Neurospora crassa OR74A: one gene and its partner. The protein of the gene in region 1 binds, or shares a complex with, the protein of each later gene. Links are inferred from orthologs where the notes say so. Each region holds a gene or a part of one and is shown on either strand. Other genes may lie near its edges. The genes, in order: NCU03836 and NCU02935.

Evidence for each region.
Region 2: NCU03836 (region 1) and NCU02935 share a complex: the UniProt entries of both Schizosaccharomyces pombe proteins name them as parts of the EKC/KEOPS complex. The link is inferred for Neurospora crassa OR74A from reciprocal best matches to the Schizosaccharomyces pombe genes kae1 and cgi121.

What each region holds. Positions count from the first base shown.
Region 1 is NC_026505.1:2,564,938-2,576,415, reverse strand, and holds NCU03836 (O-sialoglycoprotein endopeptidase), read right to left. Parts: upstream 7,393-11,478; 5' UTR 7,120-7,392; intron 7,037-7,119; 5' UTR 6,866-7,036; coding exon 5,801-6,865; 3' UTR 5,520-5,800; downstream 1-5,519. Other genes in the region: NCU03839 (APF1), read left to right, coding at 657-1,835; NCU03838 (transcription elongation factor spt-4), read right to left, coding at 2,328-2,358, 2,449-2,699, 2,777-2,857; NCU03837 (Snf1 kinase complex beta-subunit Gal83), read left to right, coding at 3,856-4,679, 4,757-5,330, 5,399-5,446; NCU03835 (hypothetical protein), read right to left, coding at 7,538-7,601, 7,685-7,776, 7,869-8,185, 8,401-8,452; NCU03834 (histone acetyltransferase complex component Epl1), read right to left, coding at 9,706-10,557, 10,618-11,388. UniProt on the Schizosaccharomyces pombe protein: Component of the EKC/KEOPS complex that is required for the formation of a threonylcarbamoyl group on adenosine at position 37 (t(6)A37) in tRNAs that read codons beginning with adenine.
Region 2 is NC_026501.1:8,638,165-8,649,709, reverse strand, and holds NCU02935 (cgi-121), read left to right. Parts: upstream 1-5,564; 5' UTR 5,565-5,651; intron 5,652-5,734; 5' UTR 5,735-6,208; intron 6,209-6,273; 5' UTR 6,274-6,390; coding exon 6,391-6,666; intron 6,667-6,834; coding exon 6,835-7,182; 3' UTR 7,183-7,517; downstream 7,518-11,545. Other genes in the region: NCU02934 (hypothetical protein), read right to left, coding at 1,485-4,130, 4,223-4,402; NCU02936 (proline oxidase), read right to left, coding at 7,892-9,544; NCU02937 (hypothetical protein), read right to left, coding at 10,635-10,825, 10,887-11,307. UniProt on the Schizosaccharomyces pombe protein: Component of the EKC/KEOPS complex that is required for the formation of a threonylcarbamoyl group on adenosine at position 37 (t(6)A37) in tRNAs that read codons beginning with adenine.

The DNA of each region.
Region 1 (11,478 bases):
CGATCCTGGTCAACCGGAGTGTCCGAGAGAAAACCAATAAAAAAAGAGGAAAAAAGAAAAAAGACGTCGTCGAAGAGTACAGAAAAGTGTAAACCTCGAGCAAGCCGGGCATATACTCTATCACAGCGCAGACCAAGTCCGTTGTATGGCAGACCTCTCCGTAAGCGGCCGAAACACAATTTCCGAGGCACAGTGTCATCCGTAGCATCAAAAATACCCCGTTGGGAATCAGATTCCTTTGTGTAAACAAAGCGAAAAGGGGTGATCCTCGACCAAATGGGAAGCATGTCTGGGTTAGGGTTGTTGGTTGATCGCTTCAAATGCTTGGCATTCGGCATGTAACATTTGTGTGGCGGCTGGCAATCGGGGCCTACACTCGAACCTTTACCCGTTGCAGAACATCAACTTTCCAACAACAACGCAAGGTGGTCGAAGAGCGAAACACCACGATTTTTGCTCCAAGTCATCCAACACTACTCACTCACCATCTCCGTCACATAGTTAATCTTGACCCAACGCAACTTCCAAACCGTCATCCGCCGCATCGTCCTGTACTGTACCGAGCGACACCCTCCGAAAACAAAACACATACAACCAATCACCTCCCCCACCCGCCCCGACTCGCGCGCAGCGGAGTCCGTAATTACCCATTCACGATGCCCAAAGCAGAAGTCGGCTCCGCCAAATATCTGGCCAACAAGATGAAATCCCGCGGCCTCAACCGGCTGCGCTGGTACTGCCAACTGTGCGAGAAATCCTGCCGCGACGAGAACGGGTACAAGATGCACTGCCAGTCGCCCTCGCACACGGCCAAAGCGCTCGAGGCGGGCGCCAACTTCAAGGGCGTGCAAGACACCTTTTCCGACCAGTTCCTCAAGGATTTCATCGCGCAGCTGAAGACCAGCCATGGCGAGAAGGAGATCCACATCAATAAATTTTACCAGGAGGTGATTGCGCGCAAGGACCACGTGCATCTCAACGCGACCAAGTGGCATTCCCTCACAGAGTTTGCAAAGTTTTTGGGCAGGGAAGGGTTGTGTAGGGTGGAGGAGAAGGAGGGGGAGGGGTTGTTTGTGGCGTGGATTGATGATTCTCCCGAGGCGATGGAGAGGAGGGAGAAGGTCAGGAGGAAGGAGATGATGGATAAGGGGGATGAGGAGAGGGAGCAAAGGGCTTTGAGGGAGCAAATTAAGAGAGCGCAAAAGGATGCCGAGGCGAGGGGGGTTAGCTTTGATGCGGAGGAGGAGGAGAGGAAGGAGTTGAAGAGGAGGGAGGGGGAGAAGATTAAGTTGAGTTTTGGAAAATCGGCCACAACAAAGAAAGAGGAGCCCGGGTCGGGGTCGGGTGAGGGTGAGAAGGGTTCGACATCGGCGGCGGCAATGCCAACACCGGGTGCTGGGGACGGATCGGTTCCTCCTGCTGCGGAGGAGAAGAAGGATACCGTGACGCCACCTTCGACAATAACGAAGACGACGACGGACGGTGTAAGCTCTGAGCAAGCAAAGGTGGAAGCAAGTTCAAAGGGCGAAGAGGCCACTGCCAAGACGACGGCAGAGGAAAGCAAACCCGCGGTTGACTCGACTGCTGGTCCTGCTGGTCCTGCTGCTGCCGCTGCTCCCGCCACGAAGCCGGTATCTATGAAGTTCGGCATGAAGCCCCAACCGAAGAACGTCTTCAAGAATGCGTTTGCTGGGGCTCCCAAGAAGGTTATGGCTGCTCCGCCCAAGAAGATGAGCGAGGCCGAGAGGATAATGAAGGAGGAGTTGGAGCGCAAGAGGGCTCGCGAGGAGAAGGGTGGGAACTTTCCCAACAAGAAGCCACGCTTCCAGTTTTAACATACTGTGGAGTCTCACGTGGGTAACTGGTCAAAGGTTATGCTATCTCCGGGTTTGGCAATATTTCGGTACATGTTATAGGGGCGTTTTCGGCGTGATGGGAAATGTTTAAAAAAAAGATACCATATTGCATTGGGGTTTTCGTAAAAGGGATCCGTAGCTGGATGAATAATCTTCCATATAGGTTAGGTAGTGATAAACTCATTTGTATGATTGTTGTATTTCGCTGCAGTGTGTAATTATAGCCCTGGGTTGATCATGCAAAACCCAAAAAATGGCCACTATCCTGCTGTCTAGACCACGCCCTTTAAACCAGCCTTAACGCCTTGAACTCCTGTTGCCTTCCCTTTAACAGGCATTCCGCATTCCGCTCCTGGGTTGTCTGTGAACGATCTATTATCGGTCCCTCTTCCTTCTTGCTTGTCGGTTCTCTTTCCTGCTTTCTTATCCGCCCTATTCCGTCTTGTTTTCTTGCACCGCAGCTTCGAGTTTCTAGTCCGCTTCCGTCGCACTGCCATCGCGCCTGCTCCAAGTTAGTTTCTGGCTGTGCCCCGAAAACCCCACGATCATAGCCTGCTTCGCCAGACCACACGAGTGTAAGCAGGAAACTTACGGGATATACTGAATGCCGTCATCCTCCAACGTGGTGCGCACGTCATCCGGCAACTGGCCCGACACCTTGGTCGCGTATACACCCTTCACATAACCGTCCAGCCTCTGCCACTTCGCCACCCACGACTTCTGCGGGTTGGCAATGGTGATGATTCCTTCAAAGACTTGCGACGTGCAGCTGTCGATCTGATCCGGCGAGCCCTGGAGATGGAGGAAGTCTTCGCAGTTGGGGCATCCTTCGTCACGGAAGCGCTATGACAAAAACAAAAAAGGTCAGAAACTTGTCGGTCATAGAGTGACTAGAAACGAGGAAGGGCAGCTCGACTTACAGCATAGGTCATGACGATAGAGCAGACCATGCAGGCACGAAGGTAGCGCTGCTGGCCGGGGGCAACGTAGTTCTCCGACATTTTTGGGAGATGTGTAGGGATGGCGATGTTACTGGTAACTTTGGGGGCGGAAACCGATAACTCACTCGTCTACGAATAGCTGAGCGAGTGAATGAATAACTGGAAAAGGACACTTGACGAAGGAGGGTGATGTTCTTTAGAGGAATGCATGTGAACATCGATAAGTTGTTCTCTGGAAAGAAGATCGGCCGCCTCTCTTGCCTGCCGCGTCGCGCCAGCGCAAGCTCCAGGTCTCACAGCGGGCCAGGAGTTGACATGCAAGGGGCGCACGGTCCAGGAGCTAGAGAAGCAGGAGAGAATGTGGGAAAGGTGGGGGCCGAAGTGGAAGCTGGGGCCGATGCCTGGAGGTGGACAGTGGAGACACTGCCGTGCAGTTGGGCTGGGCGCCGTCTCACACTCATCCACAGTTCAACTCTGTTCGCCGAGTCCGGGGCGTTGCATCCGAGTTCCATTCAGTTGCCAGTGGTCGCCCGCTTCTTATCGAGCAACCAGGTGGATGGCAGCTGTGCTTTTTGGCCCAAGGGAGGACAGTCAACTGCTGCAGTGATACTCTGATAACTGAACTGAGCTCTCTACCTACCCGTCATTCTCTCGACTTCCACTTCTTCCACTTGTTTCGCGCATCCTCGATTCGACACGACTCGAATCATCACATCTTCCAGTTTGCTGCGATATTGCCTGCTCCAACTCTATTACGACACGACACCTGACAACGTCGTTCGAATTCCCAAAAACCACACAACCACAGCCACGACCAGCGCTGGCGTAGCATGCAAAGCCCCTCGACTGTCAAACCACCTTCTATCCGAACTCGGCCAATTACCCCGGAGAGTGGAAGATGAATTGATTGCACCCGGTGGACGCATTGTTGAACAGGTGTAGCAGTAACAGCAGCAGACCGCGGTAGCAGCGAACCACCTGTGACGACCCCGTTCGACCGACCCGACCACCACGGCGACCCCATCCCGTCATCAGCGCCAGCGATCGAGCTAGGGAAAATGGGGAACAACCCCTCCACCTCCAGAGACTCCAAGACCCCGAATCCGCAATCCTCCTCCTCCTCCTCTCAATCGCAGTCTCAGCACCAGTCGCTGGCTTCCATCCAAAATGACTCTGCCAGAGCAGTGAAGCGCGATACCAAGCACCCTATACCGGTCCCAAATCAGCGAGTCGCTGCCCCTCCTGAGCCCTCCTTGACCCAGGCCCAGGGCACCGCCGTCCAGCCGCCCTCAACCACCGCTCGTCCCAAGTCGCTGCACTCGCGAATGCCACCTTCTCAGAGCGGCTCGCCGGGCTCGTCGGTGCCTACCAGCTCTGCCACCCCCACCAAACCTGTCGAAGTAAGACAGCTGAGACCCGAAGACAGTCATGAGCCCGCGAAACCTGTAGCCGTGCCCACACCCTGCCACGCCTCGTCGTGCTCACCTAGGTCGCCGGTGCGATCACCGCTATCAGAGAGATCGGATGCCTTTGAGACTGCGGCTATGCAGCTGAGCAGTCTGCAAGATGTCTCGTACCTGACCAGGCCGCCGCGACTACCTCTGCCGATCGAGGAAGAGGTCCACACACCCGGATCGCCTATCATTGCCCCGACCGACATTGGGGTCCCACTCGAGGATGCCGACACTTTCACCGCGCTCACCAGACGCTCTTCCAACTTGAGTAACAGCTCAACTCTGGACGAAGAAGACACGGAGGAGCTACGGGTGGACAAGACTAGACCGACTGTCCCCACCAGGCTCGAATGGCTCCGTGGCGGCGAGAAGGTTTACGTGACAGGCACCATCTTCCAATGGAACAGGAAGACACGATTACACCCGGTGTAAGTACTTTCTACATCCCGGCCACTTTCGCTCTCAATACGGATGGGGCCTTGCTGACACCGCTACTCGCCAACAGTGAGGGCCGACCGGGTGTATTCGCTGCTATTATCAATATCCTGCCGGGCACACATCACGTTCGCTTTCTGGTTGACGGGCAAATGCAGACCTCGCCAGACTTGCCGACCACGGTAGACTTTGGCAACAACCTGGTCAACTACATCGAGGTCAGCCCTGATGATGTGGGGCGCACCGCTGCCCAGGCAGCTGCTGCAAGCGCCGCCAAGGATTCCCAGCAACCTACGGAGCCCAAAACCTCCGCGTCCGAGACGGAGGAAAGCAAGGCACCTAGGGACCGACCTGTCCCTCCGGCGGAGCTGTTCGAGAACAAGATCCCGCAATATCTACTCGACTTCGACGCACCCGAGGAAAGTCCACCTTACCTGAGTGCTGTCAACGCCATCGAGAAACTCCCAACGCCGCCTGCGCTTCCTGGCTTCCTCGGCAAGCCCATCCTCAACGCGGCCACCTTGATCAAGGATGACAACAGCGTTCTGAACATGCCCAACCATACCGTTCTTAACCATCTAGCTACTAGCAGTATTAAGAATAATATTCTGGCTGTGTCGGCCACGACGAGATACAAGAACAAGGTTCGTCTCCCCGTATTTCGTAGCTGCATCTTTTTGCACGTAGTCGTTGATGCTAACGGACTGTACAGTATGTGACGACAATCATGTACAAGCCAACAACGACAGAGGGCATCTGAGTTTGGAATGCTAGTAGTCAGAGCTGGGTACAGTTGGCTGGTGGCTACCACTACTAGACGAACAGCGCAAGTCATGAGTAGAATAGCGGTGCATGATGAACCGCCCAGTATGACCTATTCTAGATATGTCTACAAGTAATGTCTATAGGACGCTGTAGCGATGACGAGGACACTTTATGGAAGCGGGCGCAAATTGTTGTCGGCAAACTGTCCATGGGCATCCTGCTCCATTAAGGGGGCACTAAGGGACAACAAGAGGCGCATATAGAGTGGCTGCCGTGGATAGAGTAAAGGTTATGGGATTTGGGGGTATCGTCGTAATGGTCATCTTCGTCTTCGTTTCCTTCCTTGTCATTAGTCCCTCCACTTGACGAAGACTTCGTCGGTTCTGAAGCGTTGTGTACATGTGCTTTCATCAAGCGGCGTCCGGAAGCCCGTCTCGTAGGCCAATAGACCAGCATGAGCAATCATGATGCCGTTGTCGATGCAGAACCGCTCGTCGGTGGCGTAGACACTTCCGCCTCGCTCCGCTGCCATCGCGCCCATCATCTCCTGTAGCCGCTCGTTGCAACCGACACCGCCAACAATAAGAACCTGGTTGCTACCGACGTGCGCCATAGCCCGCTCGGTGATCTCGACAAGCATGGCAAATACCGTTTCCTGCAAGCTGAAGCACAGATCTGCGGGTGTAAACGGTTCGCCGTCGGGGCCCGGCTCGCCCGCCTTCATCTGCGCCGCCAAGTCATCTGCCCGCCCCAGGATTCCGCTGAACGAGCAATCCATTCCCTTGACCGCATACGGCAAGTCCAACAAGACTCGCCCACCTTGCTTGGCCAGCTGCTCAATATTGTACCCGGGCGCCGGGTCGTTGCTGATCTCCAGCGTGCGCGCGAACCGGTCCAGGCAATTACCCACTGCAATATCCAGCGTCTCGCCAAAGATACGGTACCGCTGCTCCGCGTACGCAATCACCTGCGTATTACCCCCGCTCACGTACAGCACCACCGGGTTCGACGCCCCCGTTATCGCCCGCCCCATCTCGATATGCCCGACACAGTGGTTCACGCCCACCAATTCTTTACCCCACAGCAGCGCGAGTGTGCGGGCGCCCACGGCCACCGACGTTAGGGGCCCGCCCATCCCGGGCCCCTTGGTGTAGCAGATGCAGTCGATTTCCGAGATGGAGACCCCCGACAAGGCGAGCGCCTTCTTGGCTACACGCACAAAGTAGGCACGGTGGTGTCGGGCTGTGTCCTTGGGAAGGAAACCGGTGCCGGGAGGAGAGACGAAGGTGTCGCGCACGTTGGACAGGACAAGGGCTTCGCCGGTGATGGGGTCGTGCGCAATGATGCCGATGCCGAGCTTGTTGGCGGAGCCTTCGCATCCGAGAGCGATGCGGCGGCCTTTGGCGTCGGGCATTGTTGGCTGTTGGGGCTTTGTTGGATAGAGCGAGGGAGGGAGAGGGTTTCGGTTACTTGGTGAATCGGGAGCCGGTTGCTTCGTATCAGATAACTCGCAAGGATATTTCGTTGGGGATGTTTATCGAGGACCTTGATATCCTTTGGTTGTTGATAGGCGTCGCGTCGCGTACTGAATAGGATGGATGGATGGATGTTGTCAGTGCCACATCCAATGCCAGATGTCAGATGGAGAAAGTGATAATGGAGGGGCACCTTTTTAGAGTGGGGAAAATTTCGTCGCGTCTGTGAATACCTAGGCTAGGCGCGCCGTAGTGATCAAGGTGACGAAACTCGAGATCGAGATGAAAGAGGATGTACATACTTATTCCCCCAGCGGGCCGGTATCCCGTCTCCTAAAACCGGTCGACATGTTCACTACTTGTAACGATGCTTTAAAGCCATTCTCGCCCGTTGTTCTTCTCAAAACAAGGGAACGGCCTCGCCATGGGAATCAGCAATGGGATTTCGTCAGAGCCTTCCATGGAGTCGATGAGGGGTTCAATGAAATGTGGGTCCCCGCAGCCGCTTGTGCACAGTCGAGTGGGACCTTTATGTTGCTTTGGATGCGCAATGCAATGTTATGTAAGGCAGGCACGTAGCGTGGCTCGTGCGCTAGTAGTAGCAACGATTTCTATCCACATATAGCCGCAACGGCGCAAACTGTGACCATGGATGCATGAGTTGTGTAAAAGACACTAGAAGTTTGATTATTTCTAGCTTTTTCGCCATGAGCTGATCCAACAGTTCCATTGCAACAAATATGTGCAGATGAGCTTACGTGATTTGACTTGCTCTGTGGAAGTGCAAAAAGGCTCCGAGCAGTTCGGGGTCTGCCGAGCCTGGGCTTGGGGCTCTCTGCACGGGACCCCACTGCACCGAGAATCAATTCTCCCAGCCAAGCGAGAGTCCGCAGCCGTCCAACCATCTTCCATCCTCCGAGCCTGTATCACCCAACACCTCACCTCGTTGCCGCCAAACCCAAACCTCCCAACCGCACGGCCAGACCTGCCTCTTTCAACAGCCCAGCCGACTTCTTCCTTGTCTTCACCATCCTTTGCCTGCCATTTCTTCGGCAGAACATGGCCGGGCTGCTTCTTGTTCGGTTCTTGCAAGCTTTCGAGCTCACGGGGCCGTCTGGGCCGGATTGGAGGCCGTGAATTCAGCACCGCCCCAAGTCTATGGGGATGGAGATACCCATATTCCCTCTTGAGGTGTGTTTTCCTCGTTCGTCTGACTTCAGAATGCTGCTTTGGCCATCTTTTTGTCTCGCACAACCCGTCTGATGTGGGCTTGATATGTCCGGTACCGTTGTGGGTGAACCTAGGCTGACCAGAACTCTGCACCACAGGACCACCCACCACCCATGGAAAGCTGTTCACTCGACACCTCCATTCTGTCTTCCACCTTCTTTGGACATCGCTTCTTCTTCCGCCTTTCCAAGTCTTTGGGAAATGCTGTTGTGGGCTGCTGGCTTCATGGTTCAAAATCACGAACCTCGCCACCAAGTCAGCAAAGCTGGCCTCCAGTCAGCCAGCCAGCCAACCATTGCTGCTCGGTGATCCCACTCTAGAGCGCCCTCGAACTCTCCTGCTCGAGTTTTCACCAACGTCAAAATCGCGGATTACCAGATCGGAATGTCCCTTTTTGCAAGGCATCTTCGGTTCCGGAAAACCGGCGATCAGCAGTTCTGCCAGAAGCCAGGGTCCTGCACCAAAAGGAGCAGCGGTCTCGACTCCGAAGCCTGGCAACGGAAGACTCGACGTCCAAGCCAGCATCGATATCGTAACGACCGGTCAATTTCTCTCTGCTCGAGTTTTCTCTTTCTCAGCTTTTTTTCCACCTACGTACCTAGCGAGACCTCTTTCTTTGAGGCGTCCCCACTCTTTTATCACCAAGCACGCTGCACGGTCGCTCCGAAAGCCAAAGGGGCGACCCCCGTCTCTACGCTAAGCAGCGACCCGGTCTACCAGGGGCGCGAGGGAACACCTTTTTCTCTTTCTCGACACTTTTGTCGTCCTCCCAACTTCCTGTCTTCTTGTGAAGCGTCCTGTGTCGGACCGCAGCTCGATTGCTGGTTTCCTATTGGCCCACCCGGTTCGCAAATTCTCGCACACCTCCGACCAATTCGCACATCGGCCCAGGGCAGCACCGTGTGTTACCTAAGCCCAAATGTGGCACATGCATACGCTCGCAGCACTTGTCTCGGGGCTGCCGATGACCAAACGCTCGGAACATCTCTGAGATCATTCCTGCTTTCCCCTGGGCAACAACCTCGCGGACGCACCCGGTCTATAAGGCTTCGTTCGCCCTCCAGGCTTTCCAGAAGCGAAGATGCCTTGACAGACATCGAGACCAGCCTCCACGCTTGATGGCCATAGCCACTTTCGTGGTTCAGTCACACTGCACAATACAACACCGCGTGAAGCAACTGATGGGAGCCAGAAGTGGTATTTTACTGCTTTGGTATCTCATTACTGTTGTCGCTGCACAGCTTCTCGCGTGTCTCAGCTATCCGCCGCCATCTACACGATATCGGTACGACTACTTGTTTACATATATACATGAGCCGTTCCCCACTTCGCCAAACCTACGCAAAAGCCGCAACCCAAACGCCTCGCCCCGGCCAGATCCTTCTCTTTAGCCCTGGCCCCATATCGCTAAATGCATCAATCGAGAGTTGAGGGGTATACACAGCAGCGGTCTTCCGAAGTTTATTCGGCTGCTCGACCACCAGCCCGCGAAAAAAGCCAAACGATATCTAAAAAAGATGACAACACAACACTCCTACAAACGCCAATTTTATGACACCGGTTGAGCCTGGGGCTGCGGTTGCGGCTGTGGCTGTGCTACTGGTTGTTGTGGTTGAGGTAGAGGGAGAGATTGTGATTGATTTGGTTGAGGTTGTGATTGCGGTTGTGGTTGTCCCGGAGCAAAAGAAGATTGGGCAAGTTGTTGTGGGACGGCGCCCGGAGGGATGAACTGCCGGTTGATAACCGGTGGGGGAGGTCTTGTGACCGTCTGGAGTGGTATTGAAGCACGGTACCTCAATGCCTTTGTATCAAAGGGGTCCAGCATATACACCGGCGCGTCGTCCTCGTCATCAGAGGACTGATCATACTTCCAGCGATCGGACTGTTCTTCACTGAGGTCTCGGGCTGGACTAGGTAAACCACGACGGTCGATCCACAACCTGTTCAACCGGCCGATACGACGACGATATGAGGGTGGATGCGCCAATGATTGTTCGTCCTGGGCAACGCCCCTGAATTTTACTGGTGGTGGTGGGTTGGGTTTGGGCTTATCAAGATCCATCGGGGTGGGCTCATCCATGGATCCTGAGGATGCAGACGCTGGTGGCGTCATGAGATACTGCGTCTTGGCAGGTCTGAAGCCCAAATCTTGTCTTGGGCCCTGAACGGGAGACAGCGGCTTGCCAGTGAGGTCGACATAGTTCTTGTTCCAGTCGATGTGGTTCTGAATCTTCTTCTCGATCTCGATGATGAGCTCCGCATTCTTCTCGGCAAGGCGATCTGAGAGTTGGACAAGATCTGACTCTGCGGGACGGCCATCGGGGCGCACAGGCATACGGATCTGGGGGGGTGGAGGGGGTCTTTGAGCTGAGGGTGCCTCCGGAGCCTTCCTCTTTTGCGGCTGTTGTGAAGCGTTAGCGTTGGCTGATGTAAGTCTTGCACGTCTTGCCGTTTGACTAACCTTTTGGTTTACTAGATCCTCGTCGCCCGTCCTGATGCCGAGTCGGAGTTTTTGCTCCTTGATGATGGCTCGTTGATCGAAGATGGCTCGCTCTACCTTGAGCATATCTGCCTTGAGCAATTCCCGGTTGTGGGCTGCCAGGATGAGTTGACGACCTTCCTCCAGCTCCTTCCGCAGCCGCTTGAGTTTGTCCGCACTCTGGACATCTCTTGCCCTCGTTTTGCGAGTTTGACGAATCTCTCTTCGGCGAAAGCAGACGTAGGGATCAAGCTCGTCGCTTTCCGCATGTGTCTCGAATTTCAGTGTAGGGTTGAGCGGTCGGTTTTTGCTGATTTCGCGGCGCGACTTCCAGTACTCATATATCTGCTTGGCATGAACCATGACTTTTGTGCTGTCTAATGGCTCCAGTCCTCGCAACATCTCCTGATACGACGGCACTGTCTGGTCTATGGCCGAGAACGGCGTTATGTTCGCCGCCATGTCCTCATACACGTCCATGATCCTCTCGAAATCATCTTCGGAGAGACGAGCAGACGGGGTCAGTTTCATGTTGTAGGACTTGAGGAACGTCTCATCGTCCTCGGTCATGTCATACAAGCAACTGATGCATTCTTCTACCGTTTGGGAAAAACGGATATACGTGGATGTCTTGGCCACCTTTTGAGGGTAGAACTGGTCGTAATCCAGTTCACTCTGCTGTGGAGGGGGGACAGGAATCTCCTGGTCGGCGGCGACTCCTGCCCCCTTGAGCACAGCTTGAAGATGGTATTCCTAGTTACAGAAGGGGTAAGGTCAGCACCGGTGACATGCATGGCTGTGTGCATGGAAGGTAGGTAAGGTGAGTTGGTGATGGAGGCGTGA
Region 2 (11,545 bases), on another chromosome or scaffold:
CACCTACCACACAGCAACTCAATCTCCATATGTATATACACTACAAGAGAGCTCGCTCAGACGCGAATCTAACAGTACGACTGCAAATCCCCTCCCCCACCGGGTCCGGAAAGGACTTCCGGCGCGCGGGGTTCAAGAGATAAACCCGCAACACTACCTACATACACTACAACTCTATGTACATACACATGTAGTATGCTATTTTGAGATGCTCTTGCGTCGTCGACACGGTAGATGCAGTCAACTCAATGGTGATACGGCTAAGTAGTGTATATAACTCGTGCGTCAGTCAGGTCGCTGAGGATCTCTGGCCCCATATACAGAGTGCCACGAAGCGTACCTAGGTTGCTTGTACCGGTTCGTACCGAGTACCTGACAAGGCGGGGGGGCTCTCTTTTACCTTTCCTCGCAATCGCAAGGTACATACCTGGTGGTAGTATTAGATTCAAGCAATTATGTCATTGAACATCCTTGAGAGTCTGTTGTTGTTCACCCATCAAATATTCCATCAACGATCATCCCATCACCCACTCTGAATCTCGCGGACCTTCCAAAAAGACATCGATACCCTTCAGTTTATGAGTTCAAGATGTCCACTCGAAATTAGAAAAGCCCTGTCAGCCATCCACCTTACCTACCCACCAGTATGAAAGTCATATCCCCAACGGTTGTGTACCACTCTACTTTTCATCACTTGTGCCTGCCACAAGATAGATTCGATCCCTAAATGCACAACTTCACCTAAACACTTATCAACTGTGTTTTGGTATTAACAGCCATTGAATGTCATTTAAAGACTTACCATTACCCTCAGCATCCAGAAAGACAAAAGAGAAAAAGTGCTGCTTCATTAAAAACGCCTAATATCCTATGCACAATAGGTAGAAGAAAAAGAAAAAAAATCAACCACCGATACCCCAAAAAACCGATCCTTGACTCCTTAGCTCCCAGCTCCCACCCAATGCATTCCATGGAAATCCTCAAGTTCCTAAACCCCCAACCAGCGAGACGAGCAAGCAGCAGCACCTAATAGTACCTATAACGACCGATTGCCATCAAATTCCCATTCCCATTTCCTTCCCGTCCCTCGCTACCTAATCCATTCCATGCTGATTCAAGAATCAAAACTCCGTCTTTTGAAAACCAGAACAGCCCAGAGAGAATCCCGCCTCCAAACTCCCAAAACACCTCGCTTTTCCTAGTACCTTTGTATGTTTTGCAAGGTCCAGATATAGACCACACATACAAAATATGATCTAACCCAAAACGAAATAATACGGCATATGAAAGCCCAAAACCGCAGCACCAAGGAAACGCCCACAGCAGTCCCATCGTCTCCTCAAAATTTCTTCTACCCCCCTCCGATCCCACTCACGCTTCCATTCACTTGCCCGGACATCCTGCTCTTTCTCCTTCCATCCCATCTCCTCCAGTTTATTATCATCCTCTTCCGCATCTTCCTCTTCGTCGATAATGTGCCCTCCCTATGAGGCATTCCCGTTCCCAATAACATCCGAAAACAACAGCAGCGGCCACTGTCCACCCCCGGCTCCAACCACAGCTGAATCCGCCGCCGACACTCCCAACCCATCAGCTCCGTCTCCCGGTCCGTGGCCGGCTCCGCCGTTAACATGCGCATGCGAATGGTCGACCATTCCGGCCCCCGACACGTCACCCGGCCTGGTTGACCCCAGAGTTAGTAGCGCATTAGCGCTGTACCGCTCTTGGGAATCAGCCATGGCGGCCGCCCAGTCATGCCATGCATTGTTGTTGGGTGCATTGGAGGCGACTGATGCTACGGCAAATTGCGGGTGAACCTGTGGTCGCCATTCTTCCGTCCCGGTACCCGGTTGGCCTGTTGTGGAAACGTGCTGGGTGGCTTGAGAAGCGAAAGCTATTAAAGGGTTGATGGCGGAAGAGGTTTGGTCCATTGCTGCGGCAACGGTTTGCGGGGGTGCTGTTGATGAGGTTGGGGTGGCTGTTGCGTAGAGGTATTGCACACTGCCGCCGGAGGGGTCGTAGGCTGCTAGGTTAACGCCATTACTGGTTTGGTGGGCGTCGGCGCTGTTTTCATTCAGAGACATGGTTTGGTAGGGGGTTGCTGAGCCATCGTAGTACCCGGTTCCGTTTGTGCTGACGCTACTGCGGTGGTCATTGGGTGTGACCGAGTGACTGGACGCAATACCGTTGCTGTTGAGTGGTTGCTTAAACGGTAGGAGAGGCTGCTGCTGGAATGGTGATGTTGATTGTTGTTTGGCTATGGTCTGGTCGACTGACAGTCCATCCTTACGGCTCATGTCGCGTTCGATGCGGGTGATGGTCTGCTTGATAATCGTGTCCAGGGTGGTTGCTAGACGGTTTCCGGTACCTGTTAGTCGACCAATCTCGCTGATAATTTCGAGGCCCAAAACCATATCTGCCCTTAAAGTGGCCATCTCCATATGGGTGATCTCATGTCTCCTTTCCCAGTTTGCGACGAGAATCGTCAACGTTGAGGCGACGTATACCGACAACTGGTACCATGTTGTGTCCAGAGACTTCAGTTTCAACAGCTCCCCTACCACCTTCAATAGCTTCCGAGCTGTCTGCTCGCATATCCTTGTGTTCTCAGCACAGAACTTGGGGTCCTTTTCTAGACAAACCGACGGATGTCTAAGACAAAGCTTAAACTCGAGACTGATGGCCTGGGTATACAGTGCAAACACCAAGTCGGTCGGCTGACACTTTTCCACTCGCAGACAGTCGGGTAGTTCATTCGTCAGCTTGCGCATTCCGGCCTCAAGTTCGGCGACGGTATCGACATATTTCTTGGGATCTCGCCTCACGCTGTAGATGCTAGAATACATCTCCATGTACAAAGGAACAGCCTTGAAGCCGGCAAGCCCAATTTGATAGCGGCAATGACCAATCTTGGATGGGTCCAAGATGCCATCTTCTTCGAGATACTCGTCATCAATAGCAATTGGGAACTCAATGTCGAATTCCTCGAGTGTGATGGGCATTGGCCTGCCAAGTCGGCCGTTAAGGGTAATGATAATACCCAGGATGGACCACCACACCCTTTTGCGCAATTCGTTTTCAAGAGTTGTGCGCCCATTCGGTATCTTGTTGCTCCGATGGAAGTTGAGTTCAATGGCCTTCATCATGGCAAAGTTGGCAATGGTAAAGGAACATCCTGGTTTGGGAAAATTGCGGGTGTGAGACGCCAGCATGGCCAAAGCCTGGACCGCGGTAACCGTCTGAGAAACGGCAAGTTCGAAGAACTTACTCAAACACCAATGGTAGTGCTTGTTAGAAAGGTCATTGAGCTGCGCATGGTCCTCTGGCTTCTCGCGATGGTTCCTGATACCGTACTGGAAGTACATGCTTGATATCATCATGCGGACCAGAACGAGTTCGGGTACTGTCGCTTTAAAGGTCGGATCATCATAGATGCGAGTCAAGAGCTGCATAAACGAAGGCCTGTGGACTAGTGGCATGTACGGGTATATGGTGAGGAAGTACCACTCGGCATATGTAAAGGCGTCGTGTCTCGAGGGGAGGTCGCAATGTTCCATTGGCGGGTTTATCCTGACTAAGGACTGATAAAAGGCCGTGACCGATTTGTTATACAACGGTGATCCGATGGGAGTATTTGGCGAAGGCTCATCCATATCGGGGTCAGGATCGTCAAACGAAGTGATCTCAATGGTAGTTCCAAGAACCGAAAGGGTGGTGCCTTTAAATGTCACGCCTAGGTAGCTCTCTGTCGGCCTCGATTCCAAGAGCGAACATCTCGTATAGCGCCCTGGTGTGCTCTGTGACCCTCGCCTGCTTTTTCTATACCACACCGAGCCTTGTTGCTGCCATTCGCCTTGGGACACGGGATCGTGGATGGGATTCCCCATGGCATCCAGGGTGACACCCGGTGGGTGGGGGTTTCTATTCGCGTTTGACCCTTCCCACGGTCGGATTTCAATTTTATGGTCGGCCAACACTCTTTCGAGGTCCCTCACCCTGGCTTCGAGTTGTTGGGTATAGCCTCGACGTTCGGTACGGCCTGTTACACGGTCTGTTACAACGCATTCGATGTTTTGGCTCGCGCAATGGGAGCAGCCCGCAGGGGAGGCATCGCAGCGGATTTTTCGGACCTGGGGACGCACAGAAATTAGTATGTTACGGGAACGCGACGCCGGTTAGACGCGCAGCAGGCTGTCAGAGCGACAGGTCGGAAAATCAGTACCTTGCACCTGTCACAAGCCTGACCAGTCCGCGTGTATTGTGAGAGCTTGGTCTTGACAACACTCGAAAAGTCTTCTGTACTGCGCTCAAGACGGGGCAGCTTCATCTTGGGTTGTAGGCCATTGTCGAGAGGAGTGTCCCCGGCTTCGCTTGGCCGCTTTGGAGGACCGCCTGGGGGCATGATGTTTGAGTCTCCAATCTTGACCAGATCTGTAGGCGAGCGTGGGACGATTCGAGATGACGATTCGAAAGAATGATAGTAGTAACCGTTGTGGGCAGCGAATGGGTTGGTTTGTTGTCAATCGGGTGGTTTCTTGGAAACGGGTTATGCCGTGGAATTGCAGCGCAGTGAGCAAGCGAGCGGATGAGCGACGGCGCCGACGGACTTCAGCTGCCACGCTGAGTCGCTGGTCTGACTGTGGTCAGGGTAGTGGCGGTGGTGATGGCGGTGGTGGTGGTGGTTGTGGTGTGTCGTGAGAAGAGAGGGACGGGATGGAAAGGGACGGACGGGACGGATGTGCGATGGAGATTGCCGCGCGGTGGATATGGCGTGCCAATTAATATTGAACGATGACCGGGAACCTTGAAGCGAAGGATGGTTGGCGTAGGGAGGCACTGATGGCGCTGGATTCCTGGAGGGGAGGGGAGGGGAGGGGAGTGAGAGCGAGGGATGTCGGTTCCGAAAGCGTCAATCAAGGAATGGATGGATGTGTCCAGGGCGCCGGAATCGAGGAATTCAACTGAAGGGAATTAAAAGTTCACGGACTAGGGGGGGGGGGGGGGGGGGGGCGGCCGTCGATCGCTGATCAACCCAAGAACATTGAAAGAAAAGAAGGAACATGCTATCACCGGCCCATGATTGTTGCGACAAAAAGGCAATGAATTGGGAAATATGGCCCATTCAGGTCAAGGGCAATTCGTCCTCCTCGACGAATGAATCCGATTTCACTCGGGGCGGATCCGTTACGTTCTGCGAGTGTCCCGATTTGGCATGGCTGCATCTGCATGGAAGTCGAGTTCACGGATTTGGTCCAATTCCCAATCATTCCCAATGCAATCACGATCATCGGTGCATGGCAAAGGGAACATCCATGGCTGAGAGTATCCGAGCGTGACTTAAGCTGGGTGGAGTTTTTATTGTATGTTAACGGGATTGACCTTCGTCCGAAGTGAGCAGCCTGTTTCTGGGCATCTTTCTCAAAGCCCTCAAGACTGGCGCTCATCCAATAGAAAGCCGAACGCTCTCCTGTTTCCAGTACACCAAAAAAGTGGCTTTTCGTAGCAGGGCCGTATATCCTTCTGTGGTTTCTTCGACTACACTACTATCCGATATTTCCCATCTCTTCCCATCAACATCGACTGAGGTGGGGGTCGGGACTACAGGTGGTGGTCCCCCTTCCCAAGACAACAACCATCATGTCAAAGTCAAGGTACGCCGCGGCATCCGTGTATCCGTCGACAATGACATTCCCTAAAACACAGCATATTGCTGACGCTACCTGGCCGTCGCAAGATAATGGGAAGCGTACCTCTAGACAGTCCGAGACATGTGTTCATGTATCCGCTGTGGTTGCGTTATTGCGACCGAGAGCCCAGATTGTGAGAACCTCGACGGCTGCACGCGCGCCATGTTCCACTTTTTGGGCTGCCAGATGGAAGAAACTCAGACAATCGGAACAGCGACCCATCGGCAATGTGACAAGTTGATTCCCTGTTACGTAGTATATGACCCAATACATACAGTCAAACGTTAAAGGGGCTGACGTCCGGGCCTCTTGGAATTGACATGCTTGGCGGGGTCACTTGTGTAGGTATTGATCCCTGTCACCAGCGCGACGCGCCCCGGCGCCCGGGGATCTGCCCCGCCATGGAGATCCCGCCGATGGGCGGCAAGGATGCATTCGCCGTCGCATTCAACTTTTGAGTCTGTTTCCTTATCGCCAAATCAGAAAAAGTATCACTGGAAATTGCCCAAAAAAAGAGTACGGTACGGCACCCAAACACCTTCTCGACCTCAATCCAAACCAAATAATACTGACGTCGGCTTCTCAGCATAACGGACCGACACATGATTCAATAACACATCAATCAACCCGTCGCATTCCATCCATCTACCCCACCAGCCATCACCATCACGACCATTTACAACCGAGGACCACAACCGTCGCGATGGCGCTCGAAACCCTCCAAATCGAACACGTCCCCTCGGACCACCATGTCTACGCCGCCCTCTTCCGCGACGTCCAAAACGTCGACTTCCTCCAAGCCCAGCTCATCGGCAAGAACCCCGAGTTCGAGTACGCCTTCATCGACGCTTCAGTCATCATCTCCCGCACACACCTGTTCGCCGCCATCTTCCGCGCGCTCAACACCTTGACTGAGGGAACCCTTCAGACGCCCAACGTCCATTCCGATATTGTCATTGGGCTAAGTCCGACCAACAATGTTCGTCTTTCTATCCATCCATCCATCCATCCATGTCCTTCCTCTTTTGCGATAATCATAATCCACCTTCACTGCTTTTTTTTTTCTTTTTTTTTTTTTTTTTTTTTTTTTTTTGCTTTAAGTGAGCCAACCCATGAGCTAACAAAACAAAAAAAAAAAAAAAAACAGATCTCCGAATCCTACCGCCGCTACGGTCTAACCCCCTCCAAAACGCGCGACGTCCTGGTCATCAAAATCGTCTACCCCAAACTCAGCTCCGAAAACTCGACAATCACCAGCGAACAACAACCAACACCAGAAAGCATATGGCAACACCTGACTACTCACATTCAAGGCACGCCCGTACCGCTTACAAACGAGGAACTCGCCAAGTCGACGGATTGGGCAAAAGTGCGCAAGTATTACAAGCTGAATGGCGTGCCGGGCGTCGAGAGGATAGACAAGGCGGATGAGGAGGGGAGGCGGAAGGAGATGGAGGGGTTGGTTATTAGTGGGATTGCGCTGAGGGGGTTGTAGATGAGGCAAAGAAAGGATTGGGGGAGGAGGAGGAATACAAGCATAGGACAAGATAAAGGTCAAGACAAAAAGTCGATTGACAGATAAGAATGAAGGAACTGAAGATACCTCTAGAGGTTGGGGAATGACCTGAGACGGAATTGGGTTGTAGAGAAGCATAGACTTGGACATGGAGAGCTGCATGTTGAACTGACACCAGACCAAGATACTACTGACATCTTTACTGTGCAGCCGTGGCGAAAGTGTCTGAGCGATGCATACAACAACAGAGCAAAAGATGGAAAGAAAAGACAAAAGTAGTGGATGTCAGGATCGAAGCGGGAACATGGCCTAGGTGAATTATTGGCGGGATGCTACCATAGTGAATTGGCGCCATTCCAGGGCAAGATTTCAGGTGATTTCACAGGCATGTTAACAGAACGGTAAGTTGGTCTCATAAAGTTTTGATGTTGGAAACAATATTGTCATAGGACCTTTGAATGGGAAGACGGAAATCACGACGACTAGACCGGGATGCTTTCATTCATGACTTGAATATTTGTATCTGTATCTGTCAAGCAAAGTACCCACGCTCAGACCAAGGCCAAATCTACTAGGTAATCGATCCAAGATGCCAGGCAAGCAACCCTCGCAATGCGCCAAAAATAATGATCCCCAAAGGCCATAAAAAAATGACATTTCAGGTTCTTACACCCACTGGAGGGCGAGCTTAAGAAGAAACCCCAAATAGCCCCTTCACTCTCCTCCTAACCTCCCTTCCCATCGCCTCCCGTCCACTCCTCGTCCTCTGCACCGCATCCCGATTCTCATAAGCCCTCCGCAACAAATACTTCATGCACTCCCCCGTCGATCCCCACACCAGGTACTTGTACACCTGCGGCTTATTGACCATTTCACTTCCCTTCTCACTGCCCTTCTCACTTTCCTTCTCCGCCGCCATCTCCATTTCCTTGGGAGTCTCGTGCGGCCCAGCAACAAGCTCACAACTAACCTCGTCCGCCATTCCCTGCAGCTGGGCGAACGCCACCTGTTCATAGCCCAGCTTGGCCACGCCGCTGTCGAGAAGGGCCTTGCCCTTGAGTACCGATTCGCGGTTGTGCGTGGCTAGAACGACGCCCACGTCGGGGAAGTTGGTCGTCTCCTTTTCAGCAGATCCAGACTGGGGGACAGGAGGTTGCAAGGGGCCAGACCAGGTCTTGCGGAGCAAGGCTTCGGCAATCCCATCGTACTGGCCATCCGTGTCGGCCTTGGTGTCGCAGATGAGATATCTGGGATCAGCGCCCAAGTAAGCGCCGCGAACGAGTTTCACGCCGAGGGTGAACCCTTCGGACGCGGCGATGGCGAGGTGCTTAGAGAGAGTGGCAGGTGTGGATTTGAGGTAGGCTTGGTAAGTGCCGTAGACTACGGCGTTGCTTTTGTTGTAGCGGCGCATGTAGTCGAGCGTCCAGTCGTCGATACCAGGCTGGAGAGCATTTTGTTCGGCGTCGAAGAGGAGGCGGACGCCCCGCTCGGCGGCGAGGTTGCAGATTCCGTCGATGGCAGAACCTAGAGCCTCGGAGGGTGGGAGCTGTTTGGAAAGACTATAAAGGGCCTGGCGGCCGGCGCCGGTGAATTTGAGAGCTACGAAGTCGCCGGGAGAGGCAAGGCGGACGGTCTCCATGGTTCCTTCGGCCCAAGGGTTGATTTCCGTGCGAATGCACTCCTCCGCAGCGGCGCCACCCTCGGCCGCGCAGGAGGCGAGATCTTTGGTCTCCGAATCAGTAAGGACCACCTCACGGGCGTAGCCGAGGATGACACCACTGAAACCGATTTGCTTGAGGGAGTCGATGGTTTGGCGGACCTCGGCCGGATTCTCACCGGCGCAGAATTGGGCGTAGAAGGTCTTCTTGAGGAATGCGCGGAGGAGAGGGTTTCGGTCGGGGTTAAGAACTGGGTTTGTGGTATGGGCTAGGACGGACATGACAGCTAGTGAAGGCGGTAGGAGGAAGGGCGAGGAGGAAACGGTGGTGGTCATCCATGATCGGAGGACGTTTGTTAGTGGCAGTACTGCCAATGGCGAAGGTCCCGGTGTCTTGGGCATCTCACTGGACTGAGACCCGCCTGTTGCTGGTAATGATGATGCGTTGTTGATGGTTAGGTGGTCGGTAGGCTTAGGTCGGTTGGTGGAGGAGTGTATAAGTCGGGTGGCATATGTTCTCCCGACGCCGTTGATACGCCCGACCATTAAAATTGAATGTGAGACATGATGACGTGAGATAGAAGCCGCGGCAGGTCCAAGGGCCGAAGCAATGGTTCTTGCCCGAGCATGTCCTACGTTGCAAACCAACTGCCTGCTGGCCGGTGATGTTGAAGTAGGGAACATATTGCAGTGTGTGATGGGGGTGCCGGGATGAGACCAAATAAAGACAGGTCAACACCGTACAAACACAAAGGATGATGAAGCAGGTACCGAGGGAAACAGAGACGGGGTAATGACTGTGGCATATATAGATGCAGCTTGATTCATGACAATCAACCACACCACAGACCTTCGTCTCATCTTTATCTCCGGCTCGCCCCTGGGAGGCCGGGACCGCTAGCAAATCGAACGTACCAGATCCATCCCCTCCGAGTACACTAGCGCAGCGTGGGACGGGCAGAAGACAAGTTCAGGCCGACTTGCTACACTACTATCTGGGATAAACCCTCATCGATCCTCCTTTGTCAAGGTTTCGTTGACGCGGGTGATGCTGCGGCGGGATGGTACCTGATGCAGCCATTGGCATCAATTGCGCTTGCTTCTTATCGGGCGTCACGTGGCCGTCCCCCAAGGCCGCCAGTAGCCGCGATCTGCTGGGGGGTGATCGGAGAGGAGATTGGGCTGAGTGACGTGCCCCCTTTGATGCCCGCTTGATGAATGGCCAACAATTGGTTCTTCCCAGCCCTGTCTCGCCAATGGAAGGATGCTGAAATAACAGTTCCAATCCAAGCATTCCAGAGCTTTCCTAGATATACCCACCTATCAGCTGATACCTTTACCCCTAGTGTAGGCCGCCGGGTCTTCGAATTCCAATGCCGATGTTGGAAAGCTTCGATACGTACTGGCCAATAATGGTGACTTGTGCGCATACCTCGGCGAAAGAACGCCGATGTGTGTCTAGACTCTACTCTATAGAATCCGATGCGGCTGAGCGGGCGCCATGTTGGATTCCCACAATGCTTGGGCATTTCGTGCAGAATTGAGGGTCTTGAGTTTGTCATAGAAATGGACTAGTAAACCGACTGCCCGATAAGTTGCAGGGGTTGTGCTGTTTCGACCTTGAATAACCGTTGCGGAGCATTTGGGACTTCCGAAATCGGCTGTGATGGTAACACTGAAGAGCAACTAACCAACCTTGTGTTTTTGTATCTCTTCACCGATCGGATTGGGATGCACCTTTGAGTGGGCAAGGGGGATTGGACTTGTATCGTCTTTAAATCACCCGCTCCTTCTGGTTTTCGTCCGCGGTATTCTTAAAGCCGCCAACGCGGCGCTTGAGGAATTCGACATATCCGATGGGTCGACCTCTTGCGATGCCAGCTACATCCTGCAAGCCTCCGTAAGCGAGACCTACGACCAGGGCAGTTTTGGTTGTTCGGGCCGCCATGGGCAAAGAGAAACGATCTATATGGGAAAGTCATGATTAGCGTTTGATGCGCAAGATCTAGGACAGACAATCACGTACTCCATAGACTGAAGGCTCCCGCAACAGTCACACAGGCGGTTACAGTATTGAAGATGTCGGCCGTCCCGCGATAGGCGTCAAACATGTGCTCGATGCCAAACATGGCTGTTGTCCAGAAGCAAATCTTGGCTCCCATCCTGGCACCCTCCTTGGCGCCGCCCCAGATTGAGTTGTAGTTCTTGCTCTTGTGATAAAAGTACCATCCCATCTTGGTGGTCGGCAGCTTATGAGCGTGTTCGGCGCGAAAGCGCATACCGGCTGTCTTGATGCCTTGGCTCATTCCGAGTGTGAAGCCAATGAGCAGAGCCGTGCTCGACGCAAGGGGGATTCGCACGGCATCCGGAATGGAAAGACGACATTTGGTAACGTATTCGGGGACGGGCTCTGGCGCGGCGGCCTCGGTTTCTTTGGTGGTTGACATGTCGACCAGTATCTATCGAATGTCGTATCGCAGTCTCCTGTCGTGTTGTGCTTGTCGGAATCCTCAGGTAATGGAAGTTGTGGAGTTCAATCGGGGCAGCTCGAGCCGATGTAAAGACGCGGGTCAAGGTGTCTGCAGCTGTTCGCTGGCGATCCACCGTGTTGGACAGTGAAAGACAACTTGGATCAGTGACACTGGAAACAACTTCAGTTGAAATCTCCCCCGAAAGTCCAGGTTG